Linked DNA regions of Saccharomyces cerevisiae S288C. The protein of the gene in region 1 binds, or shares a complex with, the protein of each later gene. Each region holds a gene or a part of one and is shown on either strand. Other genes may lie near its edges. The genes, in order: SSN3 and SRB8. A codon is read from its position in the direction of its gene.

The links.
Region 2: the proteins of SSN3 (region 1) and SRB8 are in contact, whole or in part, in a cryo-EM structure (PDB 7KPV), measured with the Saccharomyces cerevisiae proteins. Residues at the interface, in NP_015283.1 of Saccharomyces cerevisiae: Asn216 (codon at 2,755), Trp268 (codon at 2,911), Asp272 (codon at 2,923), Ser275 (codon at 2,932), Tyr276 (codon at 2,935), His278 (codon at 2,941), Gln279 (codon at 2,944), Asn280 (codon at 2,947), Trp281 (codon at 2,950), Phe311 (codon at 3,040), His312 (codon at 3,043), Asn313 (codon at 3,046), Met314 (codon at 3,049), Leu315 (codon at 3,052), Thr317 (codon at 3,058), Ala339 (codon at 3,124), Arg340 (codon at 3,127), His341 (codon at 3,130), Thr343 (codon at 3,136), Pro344 (codon at 3,139), Tyr402 (codon at 3,313), Lys405 (codon at 3,322), Tyr406 (codon at 3,325), Pro407 (codon at 3,328), Pro448 (codon at 3,451), Ile449 (codon at 3,454), Asp453 (codon at 3,466), Phe455 (codon at 3,472), Leu458 (codon at 3,481), Val470 (codon at 3,517); in NP_010004.1 of Saccharomyces cerevisiae: Gly4 (codon at 5,085), Ser5 (codon at 5,082), Gly6 (codon at 5,079), Tyr8 (codon at 5,073), Leu9 (codon at 5,070), Leu10 (codon at 5,067), Thr11 (codon at 5,064), Lys34 (codon at 4,995), Pro35 (codon at 4,992), Trp36 (codon at 4,989), Glu37 (codon at 4,986), His38 (codon at 4,983), Glu42 (codon at 4,971), Asp43 (codon at 4,968), Ile45 (codon at 4,962), Leu46 (codon at 4,959), Ala47 (codon at 4,956), Phe49 (codon at 4,950), Val50 (codon at 4,947), Ala51 (codon at 4,944), Lys52 (codon at 4,941), Gly53 (codon at 4,938), Phe54 (codon at 4,935), Tyr55 (codon at 4,932), His56 (codon at 4,929).

Annotation. Positions count from the first base shown.
Region 1 is NC_001148.4:472,486-476,816, reverse strand, and holds SSN3 (cyclin-dependent serine/threonine protein kinase SSN3), read left to right. Parts: upstream 1-2,109; coding exon 2,110-3,777; downstream 3,778-4,331. Other genes in the region: isoleucine--tRNA ligase ISM1, read left to right, coding at 1-824; MRX11 (Mrx11p), read left to right, coding at 1,076-1,699. UniProt on the Saccharomyces cerevisiae protein: Component of the SRB8-11 complex. The SRB8-11 complex is a regulatory module of the Mediator complex which is itself involved in regulation of basal and activated RNA polymerase II-dependent transcription.
Region 2 is NC_001135.5:252,855-259,464, reverse strand, and holds SRB8 (Srb8p), read right to left. Parts: upstream 5,095-6,610; coding exon 811-5,094; downstream 1-810. Other genes in the region: AHC2 (Ahc2p), read right to left, coding at 196-582; type 2C protein phosphatase PTC6, read right to left, coding at 5,292-6,610.

The DNA.
Region 1 (4,331 bases):
TTAGACTAACTTTTCGCTATTTATTGAGTAATTTACAGAAGTCCCAAGATTTCAACCTTTTGCCGATTGAACAATTACGCCGTGTTGATCAATATACCTTGTATAAGATAAACGAACTGCTGGAAACGACGAGAGAACACTACCAAAAGTACAACTTTTCCAAGGTTCTCATTACTCTACAATATCATTTAAATAACGAGCTATCGGCGTTTTATTTTGATATCTCAAAGGATATTTTATATTCCAACCAAATATCGTCATTGGCAAGAAGGCAGGTCCAAACAACGCTTGTCCATATACTAAATGCATATAGGGCAATTCTTGCACCAATATTACCCGTTATGGTCCAAGAAGTATGGAAGTATATACCAGAAGGATGGTTACAAGGACAAGAACATATAGACATTAATCCGATGCGTGGAAAATGGCCGTTTTTGGACTCAAATACGGAAATCGTCACCTCCTTTGAAAACTTTGAACTAAAAATTCTAAAACAGTTCCAGGAGGAATTCAAGAGGTTAAGTCTAGAAGAAGGTGTCACCAAAACAACACATAGTCACGTTACCATTTTCACCAAGCATCACCTCCCATTCAGTTCTGACGAGCTTTGCGACATATTGCAATCATCTGCTGTTGATATATTGCAAATGGACGATAATAATAACAGTCTACCAACTATTGAATTGGGAAGCGGAATAAACGTTCAAATATTGGTTGAACGAAGCAAAAGGCACAACTGTCCCAGATGTTGGAAGGCCAACTCAGCCGAAGAGGATAAATTGTGTGACAGATGTAAAGAAGCTGTGGATCATCTCATGTCTTGAATGACATGTACCTTTCCTGTATATAAAGAATGCCAATTATTGGCTCTTAGAAAATAAAAACCCTCTTGTACTTATTAGTGGGTACCTAACAGGTCCCCTACTGACATTTTGATGCAGGGCCTCGGCCTATTGTTCTTACCAGCTCTCAGCGCGTTATACGAACAGGAAGCAAAGAAGAGAAATGTAAAAATATTGCTTTTGAGAGACCGTGTAAGGATAAGTGTTACACCCAAGGCACCCTCACCAGGAACATGACTGTCATGAATCTTTTCTTCAGGCCCTGTCAACTGCAGATGGGCTCTGGACCGTTGGAGCTCATGCTTAAAAGGCCAACGCAATTGACCACGTTTATGAACACCAGGCCCGGCGGATCAACCCAAATTAGATTCATATCGGGAAATTTAGATCCAGTGAAAAGAAGGGAGGATAGACTACGTAAAATATTTTCCAAGTCACGACTTTTAACAAGGTTAAACAAGAATCCTAAATTTTCACACTATTTCGACCGCCTCAGTGAGGCCGGCACGGTTCCAACACTTACATCATTCTTCATCTTGCATGAGGTAACTGCCATACTACCACTGTTTCTACTATGGTGGTTACTTTATAACCTCGATCTTTCTGATGATTTTAAGCTCCCAAACTTCTTAAATGGCCTAATGGATAGCTGTCATACAGCTATGGAGAAATTTGTTGGTAAGAGATATCAGGAATGCCTCAACAAAAACAAGTTGATTTTATCTGGCACAGTAGCCTACGTTACAGTAAAATTACTATATCCGGTACGCATTTTCATTAGTATCTGGGGAGCACCATATTTTGGGAAATGGTTGCTTCTTCCCTTTCAAAAATTAAAGCACCTTATTAAGAAATAAAGCTTTTTTTTCCTTTTTTTTTTCTGGCCCAGAGACGGATTATTGTTTTCAGTTGAAGTTGCGCACTCGGCATATGATTTATAGATTCCCAATATATTGTACTTCGTTATATATGTGTTACGAATATTTTTGATTTCGTTTTAGAGAGTTTTGATTAGAGGAAATTATAGCTTTTTTTAACAGTGAAATAAATATCATACATCAAAAGTCTTCAAGAATTACGTGGTGTGGCTTAAGTTGCGTTTCATTTTCCCGCTTCAATACTTGAAAGTTATCCCACAATCACTGCTGACAAAAAGGATACAAGAAAGGTTTATAGGAAAGAAAAAAGGCGGAAGGGTATACTGAAGTTAGTAATTTTGCTTCCCAATTGAATTAAGGCCGCCTAGTTTTGACGGGAGGAGAGAGAAATGTATAATGGCAAGGATAGAGCACAAAACTCCTATCAGCCAATGTACCAAAGGCCTATGCAGGTACAAGGACAACAGCAAGCTCAATCGTTCGTTGGAAAGAAAAACACAATCGGAAGTGTGCATGGAAAAGCCCCGATGCTAATGGCCAATAATGATGTTTTTACTATTGGACCTTATAGGGCAAGAAAAGATAGAATGCGGGTATCTGTCTTAGAAAAGTACGAAGTTATTGGCTACATTGCTGCGGGCACATATGGTAAAGTTTACAAAGCGAAAAGACAAATCAACTCCGGTACCAATTCCGCTAATGGTTCTAGTCTGAATGGTACCAATGCGAAAATTCCGCAGTTTGACAGCACGCAACCAAAATCAAGCTCTTCAATGGACATGCAGGCAAATACAAACGCATTAAGAAGAAACTTGTTAAAGGATGAAGGAGTGACCCCCGGAAGAATACGAACTACGAGGGAAGATGTATCCCCGCACTATAATTCCCAAAAACAAACCCTCATTAAAAAACCGCTGACGGTATTTTATGCCATTAAAAAGTTCAAGACAGAGAAGGATGGCGTCGAACAATTGCATTATACGGGAATATCTCAGAGTGCCTGTAGAGAAATGGCATTATGTCGAGAATTGCACAACAAGCATTTAACCACATTAGTGGAAATTTTTTTGGAAAGGAAATGTGTCCATATGGTATACGAATATGCGGAGCATGATCTGCTACAAATTATCCACTTCCATTCCCATCCCGAAAAAAGGATGATACCACCAAGAATGGTTCGGTCTATTATGTGGCAGCTTTTAGACGGCGTATCGTATCTTCATCAAAATTGGGTGCTTCATCGAGATTTGAAACCCGCAAATATAATGGTGACCATAGATGGATGTGTTAAAATTGGTGATTTAGGTTTGGCCAGAAAATTTCATAATATGCTGCAAACCCTCTATACTGGGGATAAAGTGGTTGTCACTATATGGTACCGTGCACCTGAGTTGCTATTGGGAGCACGGCACTATACCCCTGCGGTTGATTTATGGTCCGTTGGCTGCATTTTTGCAGAACTGATAGGATTACAGCCCATATTTAAAGGTGAAGAAGCTAAACTAGACTCTAAAAAGACTGTTCCATTTCAAGTGAATCAACTACAGAGAATTTTGGAAGTTCTTGGCACTCCCGATCAAAAAATTTGGCCTTATTTGGAGAAGTATCCAGAATATGATCAAATTACGAAGTTTCCAAAGTATAGGGATAACCTTGCTACATGGTATCATTCCGCGGGAGGAAGGGACAAGCATGCTTTAAGCTTACTTTACCACTTGTTAAATTATGATCCAATTAAAAGAATAGATGCATTTAATGCGTTGGAACATAAGTACTTCACAGAAAGTGATATTCCTGTTAGTGAAAATGTATTTGAAGGTCTAACTTACAAATACCCGGCAAGAAGAATTCACACGAACGATAATGACATCATGAATCTTGGATCAAGAACGAAAAACAATACACAAGCTTCAGGAATCACCGCAGGTGCCGCTGCAAATGCGTTAGGTGGGCTTGGTGTTAACCGTAGAATTCTGGCCGCGGCAGCAGCAGCCGCTGCTGCGGTGTCAGGAAACAATGCATCAGATGAGCCATCTCGAAAGAAAAACAGAAGATAGGCTTCTATTTTTATATATATTTGGAATTTTTCATTCCACAGCACTGTCACTATTATATTCATTAAACTTTTTTTTATCTTTATAGTATTTAAATCGGCATACAGTTTCAATTTTTCGCTTTAGAGGCACTAAGAATGCAAGTCTGCAACATTCAGGTAAAATAATGGGTTGATTTTAGGTCGAGCTAAAACCCTGTTCTCCGCAGATGTATGCGAATTTCGTCATAATTCATCTCAACTAATGGGGCTTTAAAACATATGAATATCTCATGCATTCCCAAAAAAGAAGAAAGAAAAGACTTCAAGTACCCCCCTTAATTTTTATATAATGGTAGTAGTAGGTTTGTTCGTAACTTATCGGCAATAGTAATATGTTCCCATTATAACACATCTGTTAATGGTATTCAGGTTAATAACCATAGCAAAAAATATAAACAACTTTGTACATTTTCCATAAAAAAGAATGACTTTACGAAAACATTGGATGAAACAACCAGTTCATCCCGTTCAAAGTCTAAACTACGTATAAAGTAGAGTTATCATCGGTTAACAAAG
Region 2 (6,610 bases), on another chromosome or scaffold:
AATCTGCAGAAGCACAATCCACATTTGGAATTAAAAGATAGTGAAAAATGTACATGAACCCCAACCAGTAACTTAAACATAATATTTTGGGTCACTATATCTAGGGCGTTGTTCTTCTTTGTGATTTATGCAATATACGCATATATGTATATATATATAAATATATGTTTAAAAATGTCCATAGCCGCTATTTGATCATAATAAGCCATCTTCATACAAAGCCAACAATTGATCGTTCTCTGCTATATAAGCGTTGATATCTAGGGCAAACTTGTCCCAGTCTATCTGGGGAATGTCGTCGTTGCTAATCCATTTTTGCTTTTGAAATCCGTTCTCTACAGTGAAAATTTCTCGCAGTAAATCCCTATTCTCCGCCAATACATCAACAAATTCCTGGTAATTCTTGGTATTTTGAATTTTGTGGAAAAGAGAACACAGATTCTTGACAAAAGATTCTCTTTCGTTAATAAGCGTCTCTAGCTGTGTTCTTCGTTGTTGCAGTACGATGTAATCGAGATCTTGATGCAGGTCAGTTTTTTGAAACTTGGCCACAGCATCGTGCGTTCCCTTTGGGGTGATCATTCCAGTTTAAATAGACTGGTACACGCTAGTACTGATCTTGTAAGCGGATGAGCACTTTGTCTTAATCCTCCTTAACCATCGCTCATAAACCCCAGTTTTATAATCGGTGGCAAACATGTCATTTGGTACGGTATCATTTAGAGGAATCAATTGGTTGGGTATTAAAACTGACACATAATTACTGTTATTGGTAAATTTATAATTTATCCATTTGGATATATTCTGAGATCAATGTGGATTTTTCCTCTCAAACCGAGCATCAAAAAGACTCAGGTTTACACAGGAATCGTTAAACGCAGTCGTATCATTACTGCCTGTAGCCATGTCATCTGTGTACTTGGTATTATAGTTGGAGATGAAGTGGTACGGCTCCATGGAAAATGTGCAGACATATTTATGATCTTTCTTGTCATAAATGAGCCATTTCTGTTCGTTTTCGTGCGCTATTTCAACTATGCCGATTCCTAAATTTAAACTAAACGATTCTTCTTGGTCTGCATCTTCTTCTTCCCCGTAGTCGCCACTATGAAGTTTTGTTTCCTTAACGAAAGAGGACACTTGGAATGGTGGTAAGTTCAGCAATTTCTTCGGTAGTTCGACCTTACCGCTTGTGTGGAATGCTGGGGCATCAATTGTGGATGAATAGATGGCGAATGATTTCAATGAAGACAAAATTTCGTACAAGAACAGCTTCAATCTTAAATTAAATGATATTTTATCAAACAGCTTGCATATGCTATCAATGAATGGACTTGTGGGTTTATCAGCTGATAAATCAGCGATGATGCGTTGGAAAATGGAATCCTGATGAAAGCTAAAAATTTTCAAGACGGCATCTATTTGGATTTCTCTCTTAGATAAATTTCCTTCGTTCAGTTCACTTAATTGTCTTATGATCTTTATTAGTAAATGATAGTTCTCCATGGAAATAACTATCATACCAGAAGTTTCTCTTTGAAACCTCATCGATAATGACGTTATAATCTCGATCACCACAACGATGTAATTATCATCTATCTTTTGGTTGTTGTTTTGCAAACAAGAAGTGCAGAAATCTTTCTCCACTATTTGGGTTATCATCTCAATGGTCTGCATATCCTTCAGTTGGTCAAATATTTGTGAACATAAATCATTAGAATTAGTTATTTCGATAATTTGGAATATGAAGTTCTTCAAGTCTTCCATTGCCATTGCTGGCTCATTATTCTCCATGATTTTTTTGATGCAGAAACAGGTAAACGCTTGGAAAACCCAAAGATTGGCAAAGTCCATCATAACGTAATATTCTACATGATCAATTTCGTCGACTGTGTGATCATCATCGTCACTTTTATCATCGTTGGTTACAACAGTGTCATTGTCTGGTTGTCCACTACCCAATGGAATATCGTTAAGATCGGTTTCCGACGGACAAGTTGAGTAGTACAAAATATCCTCCAAAATATTAGATGAGTTTTCCACGCTATCATTCAATAACAACATAATGATTTTTGTAGATGTTGCAAGTAATTTGGGAGATGACCCATAAGTTATTAAAATTTTCAATAGGATCTCATAATAATTTATTTCACATTCGTTGCCATGATATTTTTTTTCTAATTCATAACATGTAAGTAAAATTTTCTCAAAATTTGACTTTATGAATTGTTCTTTATGATACTTCAAAAACAGACCATATGAGCCGTCATTATTTTCCAAGTTTATTGGTAATAATCGAATAATATACTCGAGCCCCAACACATTCTGCGTCACTTCAAAAGTTAGAAGTTTTAGAGAGATCAATTGAATTAAATTTTTGTTAGTAAAGTCTTTCCTTTTCAAGAAAATGGACATAAATTTATTGTACTCCTTCAAGTTAGTGGCAATCAAAAGCATGACATTGTTTCGTGCTTTCTGGAACTGTTTGCTTGTATTTGTATCAATGATCTCGGAGTTGTGTAGTAGAAACCTGATGTTTACTTGAAACACCTCGGGAAAATTCCAAGTCTGTCCAACAGCTTGGTTTGAATTATTGATCATGGAATACACCTTCAAGACTTCTGATTTATCATTCTTCAGCTTCTCAGTTTTCAATTTCTCATCATTGTAAACAGATTGTAACTCAATCCTTAAATCGTTATCCACCTTTAAAACAAAAGGGAAGTTTTTCATAAAAAATTTCCAGAATGGCATAAATGAAGTCACATTATAAGCAGGCACGTCTTTTTCTTTCAAAACTTTCTTGTAAATGAATATGAACGTCTTCGTAAAAAGAATATGGTCATTAATGAATTGTGAGAACAATTTTTGGTAGCATAGCAAGATGTCCATCAATGCCTCCAGAGATTCTATATCACTTAGCAATTGATGGTAGACAATAAACTCGATCCACTTAAAAAAGTGGTGGAAAACCTCCAGATCGATACAAAAAATCTTGAATATTTTTAGCAACACTGTGCGGTTAACACTAGATAAAATACCGGAACATAAATGTGATAAGTACCATTCTGCAACCATGATTTTAATGCTCAGAGGAGTTTTCGACAGTTGCAAATTAGTTATATCATTGGAGAGTATTCGCATTTTGATTTGTTCTGTGATTTCCACGAGTTGGTCGAAATTAAAAATTTCATAAAATTTAACGTCATATTCCATAACGTTCCTCAATACCATATTGTATTGACTTTTCATCAACGGTGAAATTTTCAAGTTAATTAACAGCTGGACATGCACAAACTTATCATTGGAATCTTGGAGATAAAGTAGGCCGGAACTGATTAGCTTTCTGATATACGTAGGGACCTTAATGATGCCATAAGTAATTAGTATATTAAGCAGGCGATACAAAGAAGGCATCATATATGATACCACCCTCTTTTGGGCCGAAAAATTTTTGGCTAATTGGAAAACCAATGACCAAATGGCATCTTCTATCTGGAATTCGTGCAAATCCTCATCTGTTGAATTTATTCGCAATAGTAATAATTTCGCTACCAGTTGATTAGATTCATAGTGATCAAATTGCCTTGATGGATGTATGGACCAGAGAATTAATTGAATAATTTTATGCATTGTAAGGGGATTTTGGTCAACGTAAGTGGGCCAATCGAATTCTGTAGGGTTATCGTCCAGTAGCTTGGTGAACTGAGTATCTATACAATTTAATTGAATGCATGATAGTTTTGGAAATTGTTTACAGGTGACGATAGTTAATTGAAAGTCATTTGCGTTGCTGGCAGACATTATTACGTTTCGTATAGAAGAATTATTCTTCAATGACTCGTTTCTGTAACTAATTAACTCTAATTTTTTCTTCATATCAGAATTTTGATTAGTGTCGGCGTTTGAGACTATTTCAAAAAGTAAGGGCTTGTAAATTTCCCAGTTAGATGTGGGAAATATAAACACCTCTAAAGATTGTTCTTGAAAAATTTTCAAAATTAAACTGGATAATATTTTGAGAATATTCAACTTTATCTTGTTGTTTTTCTTTATATCATTGATGATGTAGTTCTCGTCATTTATCATTGATTTGCTGCTGGAAACAATATAATATTTGTGCAATAGCATATCAGTGATTTTTGTTACCAGAAAGAAGGGCTCTTTTTGACTTGATGTTATTGTAGCCGCAACAGGAGCATTTGTATCAATTTGGCAGATGTCGTTCCAAAAAATCATCAAAATATGTAAAGATAATGGCAAAAATTCGAAGTTTTCCATCTTATTTATAAACTCTACAAGCCAATGATGAAAGATTTCCTTATTGATCAATCTTAGTGAGTAGCAATTCCCCAAAAGTTTTAAAAAATAAGAAATCTGCCTCTTCCACGTACGCAGTTGTTGAGAATCGTTATAGTGATTTGTCATATCAAAGATGAGCTTTTCCAGGATGTATACAAAGGTATCCGTCCAGTCCTTTAGCAGGTGCATGGAAATGGCATCATCTGCCCCAGCAGCATTTGACCTCTTCTTTTTGTGGTTCGATTTCCATTCGATAAAATAGCAGCACTTTATCAACCAAATCGCCCTTTTCAATGGTATAAATTTTAAATAGCACTGCTCGATGACTTGCCTTCTTTTCAAGCCGTGAGGTATAAACTTGCCAATTTTGACCAGCGAAGTGTGAGACGAACTCAATTCATGCAACCACGTTTCCTTTCTATGATCAGTAAGGGTTATTCTATTAGGCAACTGAAAACCAGGCCCGTGTAATGTCGTCGTGGAATTTGAGGGGATCTTATTAATGTGGTCTTCTCTAATCTTGATAATTTTGTCGAATTGCTGGGAAAGAATGTTGGATTGAGTGACTAATGATTCATGAACAGATGATCTCGCAGATATGGACTCGAAATTTACCATTGGTGTATGGTAAAAGCCCTTAGCCACAAAGTTTGCTAGGATTTGATCTTCTGCTGCAGTGTGCTCCCAAGGCTTGAAATCAGGGTATACTTGTTCCTGAGGTTTCGAGCTTGGCACATAGGGGTGAAGATCATCTGGGGGAGTCAGCAAGTATCGACCAGAACCGTTATTCATCGCGTTATTGGCTTACCTCTATAGACCTTTTTTTAATCTTTCGATTAGCATCAAAAATCTCAGCATTTTTTCAGAAAGGTGTTTAAAATGCGCTATAAAGAATATAAAAAGTAATATATATGTATACATACTAATAAAAGGAAGAAAAAAAATACAAAAGATGATTATCTAGGACTTGTTTCCACCCAGGGGGGTGTTTAGTTTAATTTTGTTTCGTTAGATTGTGCATTCATTAGTTTGGTTTCTCTTTGGGGGCCAGTTCTGTCAACATTGGGCCAGTTGCCCCAATTGGAAAGCCTAACCACCACGCAAGTGGCGTTGTCTGAGTGTTTAGTGGCTATTGCCTGAATAAATTTGATTGTCTCCTCTGCAACAAATTGAGGAGTCGCCTTTTTCAGTCCCCAGGAGTTCACCGTAGAGGTGATGAGGTCAACAACCTCTTGGTCTGCAAGTTTATTGGTGATGCCGTCGGTGACAAGCGCCAGGAAGCATTCATCACCATTGAAGGGCAGCTTCGACCTTTCAGATCGCGGCAAATGCAAGGTATTTCCGACAAGAAACGAGAAAATATCCGGCTCACTAGATATACCATACGGTTTCCCAGCGACATCACCAAACGATCTAGTGTTGGCGAAATTATTCAAAAACCTTGTCTCTCCAAAGGCGTCTGGGTCCAATCGAGAAGGGTCTATGCTCAAACGGTGTCGTTCCCTACTGGAATTGATGTGGTGAGTTGTTGTTAATGCGTGTGCAATCCCGTCTTGATCGCAGAGGATGATCTTAGAGTCGCCCACCTGCGTGACAATGAGTTTGAGCAATCCAGAGTGCGATATGATCCACGAGTCATCGTCTTTCCCCTCATCAATGGGTGCATTCGGATCATCATACGGATATAGAAATATGGACGACGCTGTGGACCCCGCTGCGGTGCCCAGGCCGCAGCATTGGTCGAGATCGAACCTGGCAAACCCGTAGAACAATCGCAGACGGTCTAGCTCAGTGAGCAGTGCAATTTTGTCAATAATATTCCCCATTTTATCAAAAATCATCCTGCCACCATTTTGTCCAAGGATCGCACTATCGCCCTCCTTCATCAGCAGCAGTTCTTGTTTCGAGTTGCAGTTCTTTATAAACTTGTTGTAGAATTTTTCAAACGTGGACAGCTTATGTTTCCAGTAATTTCCCTCGGGAAACCTTCTTGCATATTCCTGTACCAACTTCTTCAAGTCCTGCTTGTCCCAGGAGGGTTCAGGGAAATCCAGGCTACTGCACAATTTATCGGCTAACAACTGTGACAGTTGCGCACCTTTCTCCCCATGGCCATCGAATACAGAGCAGTTCAGGGCACTTCCATACGCATTAGGCCACGACCGCATCATTTTAATGGAGTAATTGTCCTGGTTCTCTAACCGGTTGATCCTACTCGTGGCGTGACCCACGTACCCTGGAAGACCCCGTAACAAGTCCAGCTTCAGCCCAACATTTTGCGACGGCTTGCAATACGCATAAGCATTCC